Oreochromis niloticus: one gene and its partner. The protein of the gene in region 1 interacts with the protein of each later gene in a biochemical or structural test. Links are inferred from orthologs where the notes say so. Each region holds a gene or a part of one and is shown in the gene's direction. Other genes may lie near its edges.

Region 1 (7,130 bases):
TCTTCTCTTCTCGTAGAGCCAAGTTTGAAGTGCTTGTTTACATCCTCAGTTATCTTGTCTTATCTTGAATGAGATGATACCTTATATGCAGCATTTATATTATTTCACACTGGTCACTTCCAACTTAGGCCCATGATGCCCAGATAAAAAGTTGCGGAACGGTGTGACAAAACCTGCATATAAACCATGCATGTATATTAAGAAGTCCCAGATGTCAAAAGTCCAGCTGATAACATAAACTCATATATTCTTTATGCTTGTATAGAGGCTATATCACTTGTCCAGACAATAGTTTTTCAAAGTAGAGCTGATATTTTTTAAATATCACAAAACATGTGAAGCACATGAAATTTGAAAATATTTGTAAAACGATGAGGTAGCATTAGATTATGATGTTAAAAATGCTGAATGACATATGTTACCTTGATGATAATGATGAATTTCCATTAAAGGAGATTATGTTTTCATATAAGCTAATTTGTTTGGTGAATTCTTCTGTTCAGGCTTTGAAATACAAAACTGCGTTGTTGCTTGTTGTCATTGACTGAACAATGGGCCATACTTTGGTCTGGTGATTGTAAAGCACAGTGAGATTGTTATATAGACAGGACTTTTGTATCCTTGAGGTAATCTAGAGTTCAATCTGACTCCGTAAAACTATGTCAGATTTTAATACAGATTCCACTATCATGGTCGTGTTATGAAAATGTCATGTTTAGGCTTCTATTTTATGCCTGTCGTATTTGTAACACTTTAGTGAGTTAACAAATTATTTTATATCTATTTCTAAAGGGACGATGCGTGTCAAATATGCCCTGGCTTATTGTTGATATGTCTTCACACATTAATTATAAATTAAAAAAAATTAAAAGTTTAAATTAAAACTGCAGTTTTCATTTTGACAAATGATGCATTTAAGCATATACTTTTTGCAAGAAATCGGATTCCACACATTTTTAAATAACAATAATGATAAAATGAACCATGTTTTATTAAACTGTTTATTTTAAATACATTATACTGCAAAAAAGTTCATATTTCAGCCTGTTACTTTTCCATTGCTTTTTTGTATGCAAAATGCTAAGTGAGATTTATGGAAACAGTTCAGTACAAAGAGGTATGTAAGTAGATGTTACCACTTTAAAATCTATAATGATCAGTCTCACTTGTGCTACACTGGAACCATGTGTGCAAACAATTTCTTTTTAATATATTTAGAAATCACAATATATATGTGTATGTGTGTATATATATATATATATATATATATATATATATATGTATATATATATATATATATATATATATATACATATATATACATATATACATACATACACACACACACACATATATATATTTATATATATATATGTATATATGTATAAAGTTAAAAAATATAAGGTACAAGAGCTCAGACTTTGGTGTCCATGGGATTCATTTGCCCTTTCTCCTCATAGGTTAAGGGGACTTCTACACTGGAAAAGTCTGATGGCAACTCAAAGAAAAGCTCATCATCGAAGCATTTCTTATCAGATGGAGATGCCAAGGAGGGAAACTTCATGACCAGCCCGGTGAGCAGACCGCCAACTGTAGAGGCTCCGATGGTGGTAAAGACAGCCGCCACCTGGTACAGCGCTTGCTCCTGTGCAGTGCGTCCCAAGCCCGGCTTCAGTCCAGGAATCAGCTTCTGCAGTTCTAGCAGCCGTGGATCTCCTTCAGGTGGAGCACGGTGGGAAAAGATCTGGTACATGCTGGGCCCGTAGGTTTCCTCAGTGGCGAGGAGGATGGCGCAGATCCCTGCTGCGGCTGATATGATGCCAGTCAGTCCGTGGAGGTTGTGAATACCACACTGGTCTTGGATCCTCATGCGATAAGCCATAAATGGGGTCAGGTACTTGTAACCAAAGAAACAGGCAGTACAGCCCATGACGCCCAGTACGTATGCAGCTACAGGTGAAATCATCATGTCCACAGAAGCTCCAACTGTCACACCTCCTGCCAGAGTCACATTTTGGATATCAGCCATCGTGAGCTTGCCTCTCTTATTGAATAGCGCAGAGAGTGCAAAGGCAGTGATAGTGGATGAGGAGAGACCTATGAAGGTGTGGAGTATTGCTCTATGCTGATCATCACCTTTAAATGTAAGAGCAGAGTTGAATGAAGGCCAGAATACCCAGAGGAACAGGGTTCCCATTACAGACAGGATATCTGAATGATAACTAGTGATCTCTTTAGCATGTCCATCATTCAAACTTGGCCGATAGAGCATAAATGTCACTCCTAGACCAAAGTAGCAGGCAAATATGTGGATAAGAATAGTGCCGCCTGCATCATTGATCCTAATGTATTTGAGTACAGCCCACTCTGTCACAGCAAATATAGGAATCTCAAGAGAAGCCATGACCAGTAGCTGAACAGGACTGGTCTTCCCAAGCACAGCCCCGAAGGAGATGAGCACCACAGCACAGGCAAACTCTGCATTCACCAGGTTGATCACCCCCAAGTGAATTTTACCATCATAGTAAAACTGGAAGAACCCTTGCATCAGGATTGCCCACTGGATTGCAAATGTAGCTGTGAGAAAGTTGAAGACCATCCCGCCAAAGCCGTAGAATCTGAAAAAAGCCAGCAGGCAACCGAAGCCTATGAAGATCATCACCTGCACATCAGCAAAGTAGGGGTAGTCACGATAGAGGGAGTTCTCCATGGGGCTGGTCTCATTGTTTTGCAGCTTTGCGTTGGTATCGTCATCGTAAGTGACAAAGACAGCATAAAGAGCTATGATGATCACCTCAAACACTAACACAAACACTGGCAGGCTCACTTTCAAACTCACTGAGTCCTTCATGTTGATGTTCAGTATCCAGACTGCGACTCCTCTCGCTGCAGCAACACCCCTTTTGTACTTTTCTCTTTTTTTAAAGATCAGATAAGAGCAGATAAAAGCATTGGTTAAAGAGAGTGAACATTTAACAGTGGATTGTTATTTAACAACTCGAGAGAACAACGTACTTTAATCCCTCACTGCTCACAACTGAGCTTATCTCTCCCCCTGTGGTTTTCCGCAGCAAGTTCTGATTGGTATTAAATGTCTTTATTTTAAGCTAATCATGCCATAGTCATTGTCATCAATATATGTCATTATGTTTACTATTAGTGCCAGTATATGATGTCATCCTTAGTTTAAAAATTCCAGATTTTATTTCAAATATGTAAATTCATAATTTTTCAGTCTTGGGATGTGATACTGCTAAACGCCTAAATAACAGCTGGAATAACAGGAATGACAAACTGTTATCACACTGAACCTGTTCAGCATTAGGAATGTGTGTTGTGTCTGAAGCAAAAAGATGAATTCTCTGATCGACATTAGAAAACAATCAAAGTTAGATCATAGTAAGACAAGGCAGTATTTCTCAACGTAAGCTATTCTGGAGTATGGCTGGAGATATATAACATCATAATATCAATTAATTACTCCTGTTTTACATGTAGCTGTTCACTGTAGCAGAAAGTCAGTTTCTGATATCTATTGTGGATTCAGTAGAAAGCAATGAGAAAGAAGCCATTCGCATATTTTGTTATTATATTATTATTCTATGTGGAACACAAACTCACATTTATCACTGAAACTGAAGTTCAATTAATCAGAAAGACTCACATTGAATTTTGGGATGGATTTCAAGAATTTGATGTGCAGTTTTTAAGTGTTTTTTAAATATGAGTTTCTAAGTTTGCTGCTTGATAAATCAGACTATGATAGCAGAGTGCTGAAATGTGACCTTATTTATTTATTTACAAACTGTATCGTCGTCGTCGTGGTTGAGGATTGTGACTAAAAAAGAAAAAAACCTCAAACCCCCATAGACTCCAGTCCAGTAATCAGCAGCAATGAGCAGGTTAAAGCCGGTATTAAAATGCAAAAGAAGAAGAAGAATCGCTCCCATAATGCATTGCATTGCCAACGTATGCAAACAGGAACATGGCTACCGGTGTTTAACATCAGCACTCTTGAAAAATTCTCTTGTCCCTGACCGACATAGTCTGATACACCAGCTTTTGCTGATCCTCCGCGACAGGAGAAAGGTCGGAGTTTATCAGTGGACTCTGGAAACAGCTCCTCGCTTCTTCGTCGGTCACAGACAGGTAACTGGTCAGTTAGCAGACGCTAGCTCCCGGTGAAGCTAACGCTACCAGTGCTGCTAATCACGTCAGTTCATTTAAATGTTATCATCGCTGTCATCTCCTTTTGGAGACGGGCTGTGAATCATTAGTCAAAGGAAGACGTGGAAAACACATCAGTATACTTTTATACCTGTGCTGTGAAACACACACATAAAGCCGCTGCATGGGGGCGGTAGTTTTTGTGTCTCCCAGAGCTTTGACACGTCTGCACCTCAGCTAAAACTTAATTGTCATGTCACTCGTAATTAGACTATTAACTAGACTGCTGTTTGCTTTTAGGCCTTACAGGGAGAGCGGTGTAACAGCGTATAATGACATATGTTTATGGTTTATAATTAAGTCACATATTGATGAGGTAAACAAGCGTGAGGGGGAATATGTTAATGTCACAGACATAATGCTGACAGAAAGAGACTAATGCTGAAAGAAAAAGAAAGGGCAAAATGTTCTGGAGTGACGGTGGAAGATCGGGTCCTGCTGAAGTAGGAGAGGGTAGACCACCATTTTCAGTAAGCAAGCACGGTAACAATGTGGCATTAAAGTCATCGAGTGGAGCTACACAGTCGAGGAACACTACATTTATTTACACTGAGACCACTGCCCCACAATCTGCCCACAAAGCACAGCTAACCAGGGCTGAAGACGAGGAAATTGGAATCTAGAGATGTGGCAGAAATCACCACAAGAACCAAACTTCAGACTTGGTAAAGGCCATGGTAAAATAAGTGCATTGGTGGCAAACATAAGGTCTGGGAGGCCAGAAGTGACCCAGCAGAGACTCCCAATTTGGATCACTGGACCATTTGAACAAGTGAAGGAGGGCGTAAATCTTGAACCAAGTTTTATAGCTTTTCTTCCTGATAAGGCCCTCCCATATGGTTATTCATTGTGTACCTAAGCTATTAAGTGACAGAAATGTGACTGGTTTTTTTTGTTTGTTTTTTTTAAAATTTTATTACTGTCTTCTATAGATGTTTCAGTGTTTTGTTTTGTTTTTCCTTCTTACAATGGGACTACAGTAGAAATCAGTAACATGTTTTCTATCAATTGATGAAACGTCTATAATTGCAGGAGCTACCAATTTTTTTCTGTAATTATCCAAATTTATTTCTCACAGTTTAAGCCCAAAAAGTCCTGCTGACAGATTTTCATTTACTACAGCAGCATTTCCTTATCTCGCAGAAAGGTTTAGGCATGCTGTTGAATTTGTACTTCTTTTTTTATGTATTAACATATCTCAGAGACTAAATGTGTAGTTAAAATTCTTTACAATGACAAAAAGAAAAGTTTCACTGATGGAAGTGGGCTGTGTGCAGCCCACGGTGTAAAATAAGTTTGACCTTCCTGCACTAAAGTAAGGGGTGAAAGTTAAAGGGGAAAAAATAGTTATAATGAAGGGAAATGTTTAAAAATAAAATGTTACACTGATTTCAGTTTTTAAAAGGACTTAGGATTTTCAGAAGACTTGGGTATGACAGTATTTTGTTATGAGAGAATATAATAATTTTGAGGAGTACTCGAGTATGAGAATATCTCAGTTAACATTGTGTATGTTTGGGGGAAAAATAAGGAGAACTTTGGAGTTTAATTCCAGCAAAGTGGGGGATAACACATACTGATAAGGCAATCAAGTGGTGGGAGGGTTACATAGAGTGAGTGAGCATGGGAACAAAGTGTATGTGATGAGTTGTCAGAGTAATCCTGTTTAATGAAACGAGATGATATTTGCAAGCCGTCTGCCAGCCAGTGAATAGCCAAAAGCATTGCCAGTTGTTATTTGAAAATAATCAGACTTTGTAGGATATCTTTTTTTTGCTAAACATGTGCAGACTTGGTAGATGTTGCTTCAGGTAAAACTCAGATGTCTGGTTTACCCTGTTATGTAATATCAGCATCTTTTATTATTGAACAGATTAGATAGGCAATGGATTAGCCAGTCAAGCAGATTAATTGTCAGCATTTTTTTATTTTTACAACTCATTAATCTTCATGACCTTTATTAATGTGTAACAAAGTAACAAAGGCAGGGTTGTATTTTTTTCTGCTTTCTCAGAGTAGGCCTCTGGGGGAAGGTGTGATTAAATACATAGGCATATCTAGTCTGCATACAGTAAAGGCATTTGGTGTTTGTTTGTTACTGTATCTGACAGAAATTGATGCATTTTTGTGATAAAGAAAACAGATGATATGCTTGTTTTGAAGTGGTTTACTCAGTGGTTGGGAATTTCCGTTGGTTCTGGCTAAAGCATCTCGGGAGGGCGGATCAGTGAATACCCTAAATGGCATACATCCACTGGTTTCAGCTTCTCAAATGTCATAATACTGATACTTTACTTTTATTAGTCGACTAACCAGTTGGAAAAACAATTTTCCACTTACTTTGTCCTAATTCCATTAATATTTATGAAAGTGTTAATCTTTAAAAATAGGTACCCAAAGTGCAATGAATGTCATTATAAATGGTTAAATGATGACCTGATATGGCTGAGCACTGCAGTTTAAACAATACATTTTGTGTTCACTGATGGTAATTACTACATAAATCTATTAAGTTTGTTTGAGGTTGTGGAGAGAAGCTTTAAGAATCATTGTAATCGCTGCTCGTTGCACGTTGGGCAGAGGTCTAGTTCGATGCTGTCTCTGTGCCATAGTCAATGATAAAAACAAGAAAACAAAGAAGCTGTAGGGGTTTCATGATATTAAAATGGTGTGGGTAAATTACCTGCAGTAGCCTTCCACATTTCGCACACTTACTGCCAGATGCAGCAGAAAATCAGGTGAATATTTGATAATTCATTAATGCTTTAATTTGAATTCACAATAAAATGTTAGATTCATTCTTCCTGTGAACAAAAAGCATTTAAAAAGTTACATTTATAACATTTTTACATATAAACTTTTTAAGCGTTTGTCAGCAGTAACTCGTGGTTTGATGAATATTT
Region 2 (8,023 bases), on another chromosome or scaffold:
TATTTCCGGAACAGAAAGTGAAATGTCCCGAAGTACAGTTAAAGAACAAAATTGGGGAAGTTTAGATTTAAATCTGTGACTATCCAATGAAAGAACAAACACACTAAATTATCATTACCACTTCAGCATTAACCCTTTGCAGATACATCTGACACCCAGTCAGCCAGAATCCATATGAATAATTACATCTGTCACTCAGATCTCGGGGAAAGCCTTCACTTTGGAGACTCTGGACAGGAAGACGGTGTCCTTTGAACGAGAGATCAGAGAGTCTGGTCTGTGGCTTCGCTGTGTTCCTGCTCCTGACAGATGCCAGCACTGGAGGTGGAGAGTCAGAGAAGGCAAGCTCGAACTTCGAGAATGAGACGGATATTTTCTGTTCTCTGTTGTTGTTTTGGTCTTTTGGACTAATTTAATTTGTTTTTTTTTTATTGGGAAAAGCTTTTAAGCACTTTAAAACTTTTCTCAGTGCATTTACACATAGCTCAACATAAATAATCCATTTTGACAGAAATATGGGCAAAAAACCTTAAACACAGGAAAAACAAAGATACCAATCAAGCACTTTATTAGGAACACCACACTGAGTTCAGGTAGGCCCTCTCTTTGCTAGCCGACAGCCTCAGTTTACCTCCTGTGTTGCCAGAGTTGTTCTTCTGGATTCAGACTTGCTGGTTAGGACGACAACGTAGGCCGTCTGAATTCAGTCTCATATTTATAAAACCACGTTTAAGATGAAGGAGCCATTAGAAAATGACTCCTTCCAGTGTGACTGGTGGTTGTTGGTAATATGCTGGCAGAAAGAGACCAAGAAAACATTCCCCATGTTACCCCACTGACACCAGCAGCCTGGGCAGGTTGGCTCATGCTGATTTTGACCTACCATTTACATGGCGATGGATCAATCCTTGCTGCATTTCTGCTATCTGGGCTGCATTTGATAATCTCACCATCCTGTGTTTAGATTAGATAACATGTTTTTTAATCCAGTGAATCACATTATTAACAGGAGCCGTCTGACACTCCATATTCCTGCAGATCCACCAAGGCTGAAAATTCCCTCCATGCCACACATGAACTGAGTATGAACAGGATCCGTGTTTTGTTTTGTTTTTTTCCTCAAGGAATCCCAACACAATTTCTCATTTTTTTCTTTTAGTGTGATATTTTTACGTATTTTTGTAGATGTAACACAAAATATCCAATCCTTCAAATAATGGTAAAGGATCCCTTCAAAATCTCCCAGATCCAGACCTGAAATGATAACCACTTTGAAGTCCCACAGCTGGCAAAGATACACAAACAAACCGAATCAATTGCAAAAATAATCTCTAATTTGTACTTAATAACTAGTTACATGTCCGTTACCTTACCAAACCCCGGTACTTAGCTTATACTGCTGTGTTAAACCAGTGTCATAACCTGCGCCCAGCCTGAGCTGCTCCTTACCAGAAATCCAACAACACATTGTAGGAATCCAGACCTCAGCCCCCGTGTTAGGTCTGTAGTGTGAAACATAATATATTGATGAGCACAGGAGTAATATTTCTGCAAAATAAAATGTAAGAAGGGGCACGGTGGTTAGCACTGTTGCCGCACAGCAAGAAGGTCCTGAGTTCAATTCCACCATCAGGCCGGGGTCTTTCTGTGTGGAGTTTGCATGTTCTCCCCGTGTTTGCGTGGGTTCTCTCCGGGTACTCCGGCTTCCTCCCACCGTCCAAAGACATGCAGCTTGTGGGGATAGGTTAATTGGATAATCCAAATTGCCACTAGGTGTAAATGTGCGAGTGAATGTGAGTGCGAATGGTTGTCTGTCCCTGTATGTTAGCCCTGCGACAGACTGGCGACCTGTCCAGGGCGTACCCCGCCTCTCGCCCTATGACAGCTGGGATAGGCTCCAGCGCCCCCCGTGACCCTGAAAAGGATAAGCGGAAGCGAATGGATGGATGGAAAATGTAAGAAGGATTTATTGTACCTAGCTTGCTCAATATGCAAATACAACAGCTAATATGTGGAGATATGTTGATTTCCTCGTTTTAATAACTCTGTCAGTTTTGTCACGCTCACCTCTTTCCTTCATTTCAGCAAAGTGTTGTTCACATCTGAACGTTGAGCTCTGACAGGATCATCTCTGTTTTCACTGGTGTTAGCAGAACAAAGCAGAGGAACGAGAATAAAAGCAAACATTATGGTCAACCATTCAGCACGGCACTGTAAATGAAGCTTCAGAGTTTCTGCTGCACTGGTGCCACGTGATTGGCTAACTGAATAACTACTAGCACAAGCAGGTGTTCCTAATAAAGTGCTACTTGAGTGTACAAATAAAAGAAATCTTAAAATGTCTATTTTCAGGTTAAACTGTTTCTATATGTTTTAAGTAATGATACAAGTAGTTTACACTCCAAGGGGGTAAACCTGCTTGAATAGGAAATGGTGTTGGTAGAGCTGTAATAGGTTGTGACATCTGTATTTTTTTATTTTGTGTGTTAAGATTGTTTCCCTCTTTCCGTTCTCCTGCTTGTTCTTTCCTTTTATGGATCACTAGGAACAAAAAAATCCGTTCTTTGTATCTCTGTTTACTTTCTGATGTGGAAGAAAGAGTTTGTCATGTCATCTGTTTCATTTTAGAGTTTAAATGGCATGAAGCTGCCTAAAATGATGTGTTTTCCACAATATATCACAAGACTGGAATCTCTTGGTACTTGAATGTAACTGATATTTTATATTCTAATAAAAAAATGACTCAGAGGCACAAAAGTTGCTGTCTTCTGCTCATTTCCAGCTATTGCCTTTCCCAGTCGTTTCTGACTCGGTGTCATTTGAGAAAGACCAGGATTAGACCTGTTGCACACTGTAAACATTGACAGCACTGATAAAGAGGCCCAGCCCTATAAAAACAGATGATGTTAAACACGTGAGGCTGTTACATGTGTTGCATGTGACCAGGAAGGTGTATGAAAACGTTTGCTTCAGCCTGATCCTGTTCATACATTAATTGTAATATAGGTATTGATCTTACACAAATTGTTTTTGTACAGTGTAAACTGTATTTGATAAATATCAGATATAAACATTTTTCCATCTGGGCATGAAATATACAATTTTGCATTATTTGTATTTGAAATAGTTCAGCTAGGTTCCCACTGAAGAGAGATTCATGTTATTAAATGAAAAGTAACTACATGTGACACTCTTTATGACTATAGCAACTAGCTGGCTAACCTTAGCTTCCTTCTCATTGACATCAATAGCAAAAGTGCTATCAAAAGCCAGACCAGTGCTTGCTTTTTGTCCTTGTGTGGTGTTAACTGGTTTTTGACATTACTAATTAACAGACTCCATTTTCTACCCAAAGGTTAGCTGATGATCTCGCTGTTAATGCTGTGAACAGAAGAGTGGTATTCAAACAAGGTTCCCATGAACGAGCACAGCCATCTTTAAACTTTTTTGCAGAAAATTCAAACTGACTCACTGATGTAAAGGTCACTACAAAGTCCCAATTTTTTTAGTTATATTACAAACCCTTTAAACTACAAATAAAAGAGGCTTGATAATTTATTATTAGACTTTTTTTTTAATCTATTGCTGCTGTAAGGCCCACCAAGTGTAAAAAGATATATGCACCTTCCAGAAAGTGTAGTTGACATGGAAGCGCCTTAAATATGCATTCTTTCTAACGACCAGCAGGGGGCGACTCCTTTAATGCAAACACACTTCCAGAAGTTTTTCCTTCCTTGATCTGTGCCCTCAGTAAACTCTTAGCTGGTTGTGCTAAGCTTGTGAGCACAATCTGCTAATTTTAAGTCATACTAAAAAACAACATGAAGTTTCCTCTTTGGCTCATGACTTGTTAATCATAAGATGGCAATTGTTGGCCTGTGGTGTCCACTTTTTTCAAAATACCAAGATGGCAACAGCAAAAACAAAACACTCATCTTGAGTCACCAGCGCTTCACTACCCAATGGGTGATTACGATGACTACATCCATCTTTTGTATACAGTCTACAATAAGGCCTCACATTTCCAGCTTGGTGCTTGAGGAATGTGAAGCTTCTGGATCCTCTGATAGCAAACACAGCCAATAATAATTGCAGACATCAGGTGCTGTTAGCTGCTGACAAGTGTGATTAATTACCATTCTAAAAGTCATAAACCATAAATGATTAAAGACAGTGGTTGTGAGACCCGCAGACAATGAATTTAGTCATGAGAACCTGCAGCCTTGCACTAATCATATAATAGATAGCATTTCTGTGTCAGCAATTTGAATTAACACAATTAAAATAAGTGAGGATCTAAAAAGAAATTTCAGCATATCTCTTCAAGTGAGTCCACAGGGAGGATTTCACTGGTACAAGTCTTCAAAGAAATGCAATTAATCAGATTATGAGGAACGAGATGGAAAGTAAGGCCTAAAAGTTGGGATCAGCCAGGATCTTGAGTCCCGGCATGGAAAAAGGGGCCTCTAAACACAAATAAATGGTAGAACCCTCCACCTCCCTCATACAATTGGAGAGAGTCCTGGAGAGGCCTTCGGTGACCCCAGTGATCACTAGGTTTTACTCAGAAAATGTGCTTAAAAGTAATTAAAAAAATTAAACATCAATAGAGAAGAAAAACGATCAAAAAGTAAATCGAAATGACCGTAGGCAAACATAAAATACAGGAAAAACAATAAACTAGAAACAGATTTTTCTAATGTTGCATTTCCGTGTTTTGTTTTTTGACTCCCTATAGTCCTTGTGTTTATGTGTGGATTTCTTTATTTAATTATCATTATTTGTCTCTTTTGTGGCCGATTTCTGTTTCCCTGTAGTCATTTCTCGTCGGTTAAAAAAAAGGAAAAGAAAAAGAAAAACTCTGAGGGCCCGGTTCTCAGTGTCTGAAACTTGAATAAACTTGTGTACGGCTCACTTCCTCGACATTTTGTGCACTGTGCGCACAAGGCTCTGCCGACACGCTGATTGGACCGCGGAGACATCTGGGCGGGTTATCCGTTACACCATGCGTGCTACGATTGGACGCGGTGTGATAGTGGGAAGTTGCCGTACGCCGGTGTCTCCCTGGTTGCGCAAGACGCCATTTTGGGGTGACAGTGAGAGATAACGGAAAGATCGAGAAGCTGTCGTTTTAAAGGTAATAACCCACATAAACTCGCTTGTTTTTTTTGCTGTAACGCCATTTATTGTACGGCGATTGTCGCACGGTACCAGCGATTCGATTTAGTTTCGCCTGAGCATGACGTCACGAGGTTCTTTCTCAACTGTGACGCGGCATTTAGCTAACGGCTGTTAGCTTAGCGAGCTATCGTGTATCAGATCTTTTAATGTTCACGCCTAAGAAACCAGGCCTCAGTTTTGCAGGTGGATTTCGTAGCAGGTCATCGTTAGATTTATTAATAATATATACTGTAACCGACAGTGGTCAGTAGACCGTAGACGAACGGTGTCGCCTGCTCGTCGCAAGTTAGCATATGCTAGGAAAACTAGCTATCTGGCTGAAGCATCCGCCCTTAGTGAAGCGAACTGTATCCTGTTTCGAGTGCTGGTAACCAGGTAAAGAGAGAAAACTTCAGACTTTACACAGAAAATCTGCGCGTTCACATAGCACAACGTTTCAGCCTTTATTGACACATACTGATATGAACTTTACATTAACTTAGGTTGACCTTATGGTTGAAAGCTAGCGTCTTGTGACGGCTCACTCGTACAGAAACATTATCCTAACCGGCTATTGCAGAGTTTTCTAGCTGGAACAGGCCTCTCTTATCTTTTCATCAGTTAGCTATTCGCTTTATCCACGGTTGTACAGCTTAGCCTCAGGATATGCGATTTTTCTGCTGTTAAATAATTGACACATAGGAAGTTTTAACACTTCTGTAGTGTAGAAGTTAATGGCTGATGTTGGTCGGCCAGAGTTAGCTCTTAACTTAGAGTCGTAGACGAAAGCCTCAGTCATTCGCTTGTGTAAACATTTAACTTGTTCTCCTCCGTGTGTCTCACAATGTACCTCGTTTTTTCGACTAAATATACAGCTGTCATCGAACTGCTCTAATGTGGTGTACCTCTATGAACTGACTAACGATAAAACGATGGTAAATCAGTCCAGATGTCAGCTGTTTTCTCTGATACATTTTCCCTGTATTCACTGCCTCTCACCATACTGCACTGAAACAGATTAACAGCAGACCGTACACTGCCTTAACCCTGTCTCCGTCTCTGCTTTGACAGCTTCATCACCATGGGGAATGTATTTGCGAGCTTATTCAAAGGCCTGTTTGGCAAAAAAGAAATGAGGATTCTAATGGTGGGGCTGGATGCGGCTGGAAAAACAACTATCCTATATAAACTCAAACTCGGAGAGATAGTCACCACCATTCCCACCATTGGTATGGACATTTACATCTATCACTCCACTGTCATTATTGTAAAGAAGCTGTATTTTTAGACTGCTTTGAGAAGATGTTATTAGTTATTTCCCATTGTTATTAGAGAGGACAAAAAAAAATCCTGTTCACCAGATCTTCAGGTCTTTTAAACATCTGACTGTTAATTTGTTTTAATTACAAGGGATACACTGTTACGAAATTTAGGGTCATGACTAATATATCTACTTTTTGGATTTTCTTTTCTTTTTTTTATTGCTATTTACTTCTTACTTTGTTTCAGGGCAAGTAATTAAATCATAATTAAAATTAATGGATCTATTTTAAAGTCTGTTTAAAAAAAAAAACTTAACCAGAAGTGATGTGGTAAATATTGGCCACAAAAGCAGGTGAATGCCATTACCAGTCCACTGGGTGACCAATCATTTTGTAGCTTTAAGCAGTTAAGGTAATTTTTTTTGTGTGTGTGTGTGTGTGTCCAAGTTTAATGCGTTTTGATCTACAGCAACCAGATGTTTCCTTATTTCAGATTTTCTGGACCATTTCATTTTAACAATGGTTTAACAAAGAATAAGTGATAAAATGAGAGTAACTGAAGACCGTTTCTTGATTAAAATGCAGTCATGAAATGTTGACTTTAAAAATAAAGTCATATTAGGAACAAACAGTGGAAAAAAAAATAAAAAAAATAATAAATCGTAGAAATCTTTACCTGCGTGTAGTGTTTGCTGTCGAGTGGTCCAAAGCCTTTTAGTGACTCATCTGTTTCCTCTCCTTTTTTTTTTCTTTTTTTTTCCCTTTCCTTTTCGCAGGTTTTAATGTTGAAACTGTAGAATACAAGAACATCAGCTTCACAGTTTGGGATGTGGGCGGTCAGGACAAAATCAGGCCGCTGTGGCGCCACTACTTCCAGAACACTCAAGGTGAGGTGAAAGGGGGTGTGCAGTGGCATTATCTTAGCTGGCAGTTGTGTCAGTGAGCATTACTGCCCGTAGGTGGCCTCGTTGGTGCATAGAGGATATTAAAGAGACCAATGACTCACATGCCATTGTTCCATTCTCAAAGGGCGTATTGTGTGACTCCTCTACTGTTTCCTGATGTGTAACTCATCAGAATGTATAGGCCTATGCTGTCTTGTGTTTGCCACTCATGATCCGGCTTGTAAGCAAACTAAGTTGAACATTTTGTGGTGTCTTTAATCTTCAGAAATTAATTGTGATTGAAGCCACCTTATTTGCTGCACTGCCACCAGTGCTCCTGTGGTTTCCCTGCATGCATTAGATGAACGTCACCTTCCACATACTGAGCACCCAAGTGTGAAATTGAATGTGTGAATCATTTCAGTGATGATCTAAGACGCAGCATCATTAAACAAACAGCATGTCTGACTACAGAATTTTCTTCTGCAGCAAACAAGGAAAGTTGTGTTTGGGCTAGAGAGCCGAGTATTGGTTAATGATTTCATGATTAAGGTGACAGAAAATTGTTCTTTCCGTTATTTTTCCAGGCAAAAAAGATTAAGGTTCTATGCAAAATTAGACCTGCGGACCATCTCAATCTAGTCTGATGTCCTTAATGGTCTAGCCTCTCCCCAAGAAACGTTTTAAAAAAAAAAAAAAAAAAAAAAAAAAAGACAC

Evidence for each region.
Region 2: the proteins of arfgap1 (region 1) and arf2b form a complex in vitro, tested with the Homo sapiens proteins (2 studies listed by BioGRID, with this or other methods). The link is inferred for Oreochromis niloticus from reciprocal best matches to the Homo sapiens genes ARFGAP1 and ARF1.

The regions. Positions count from the first base shown.
Region 1 is NC_031970.2:24,910,376-24,917,505, forward strand, and holds the start of arfgap1 (ADP-ribosylation factor GTPase-activating protein 1), read left to right. Parts: upstream 1-3,938; 5' UTR 3,939-4,149; intron 4,150-7,130. Other genes in the region: rh50 (rh50-like protein), read right to left, coding at 1,415-2,851. UniProt on the Homo sapiens protein: GTPase-activating protein (GAP) for the ADP ribosylation factor 1 (ARF1). Involved in membrane trafficking and /or vesicle transport.
Region 2 is NC_031973.2:4,380,008-4,388,030, reverse strand, and holds the start of arf2b (ARF GTPase 2b), read left to right. Parts: upstream 1-4,983; 5' UTR 4,984-5,137; intron 5,138-6,231; 5' UTR 6,232-6,241; coding exon 6,242-6,389; intron 6,390-7,198; coding exon 7,199-7,309; intron 7,310-8,023. Other genes in the region: uncharacterized protein map3k14b, read left to right, coding at 200-364. UniProt on the Homo sapiens protein: Small GTPase involved in protein trafficking between different compartments. Modulates vesicle budding and uncoating within the Golgi complex. In its GTP-bound form, triggers the recruitment of coatomer proteins to the Golgi membrane.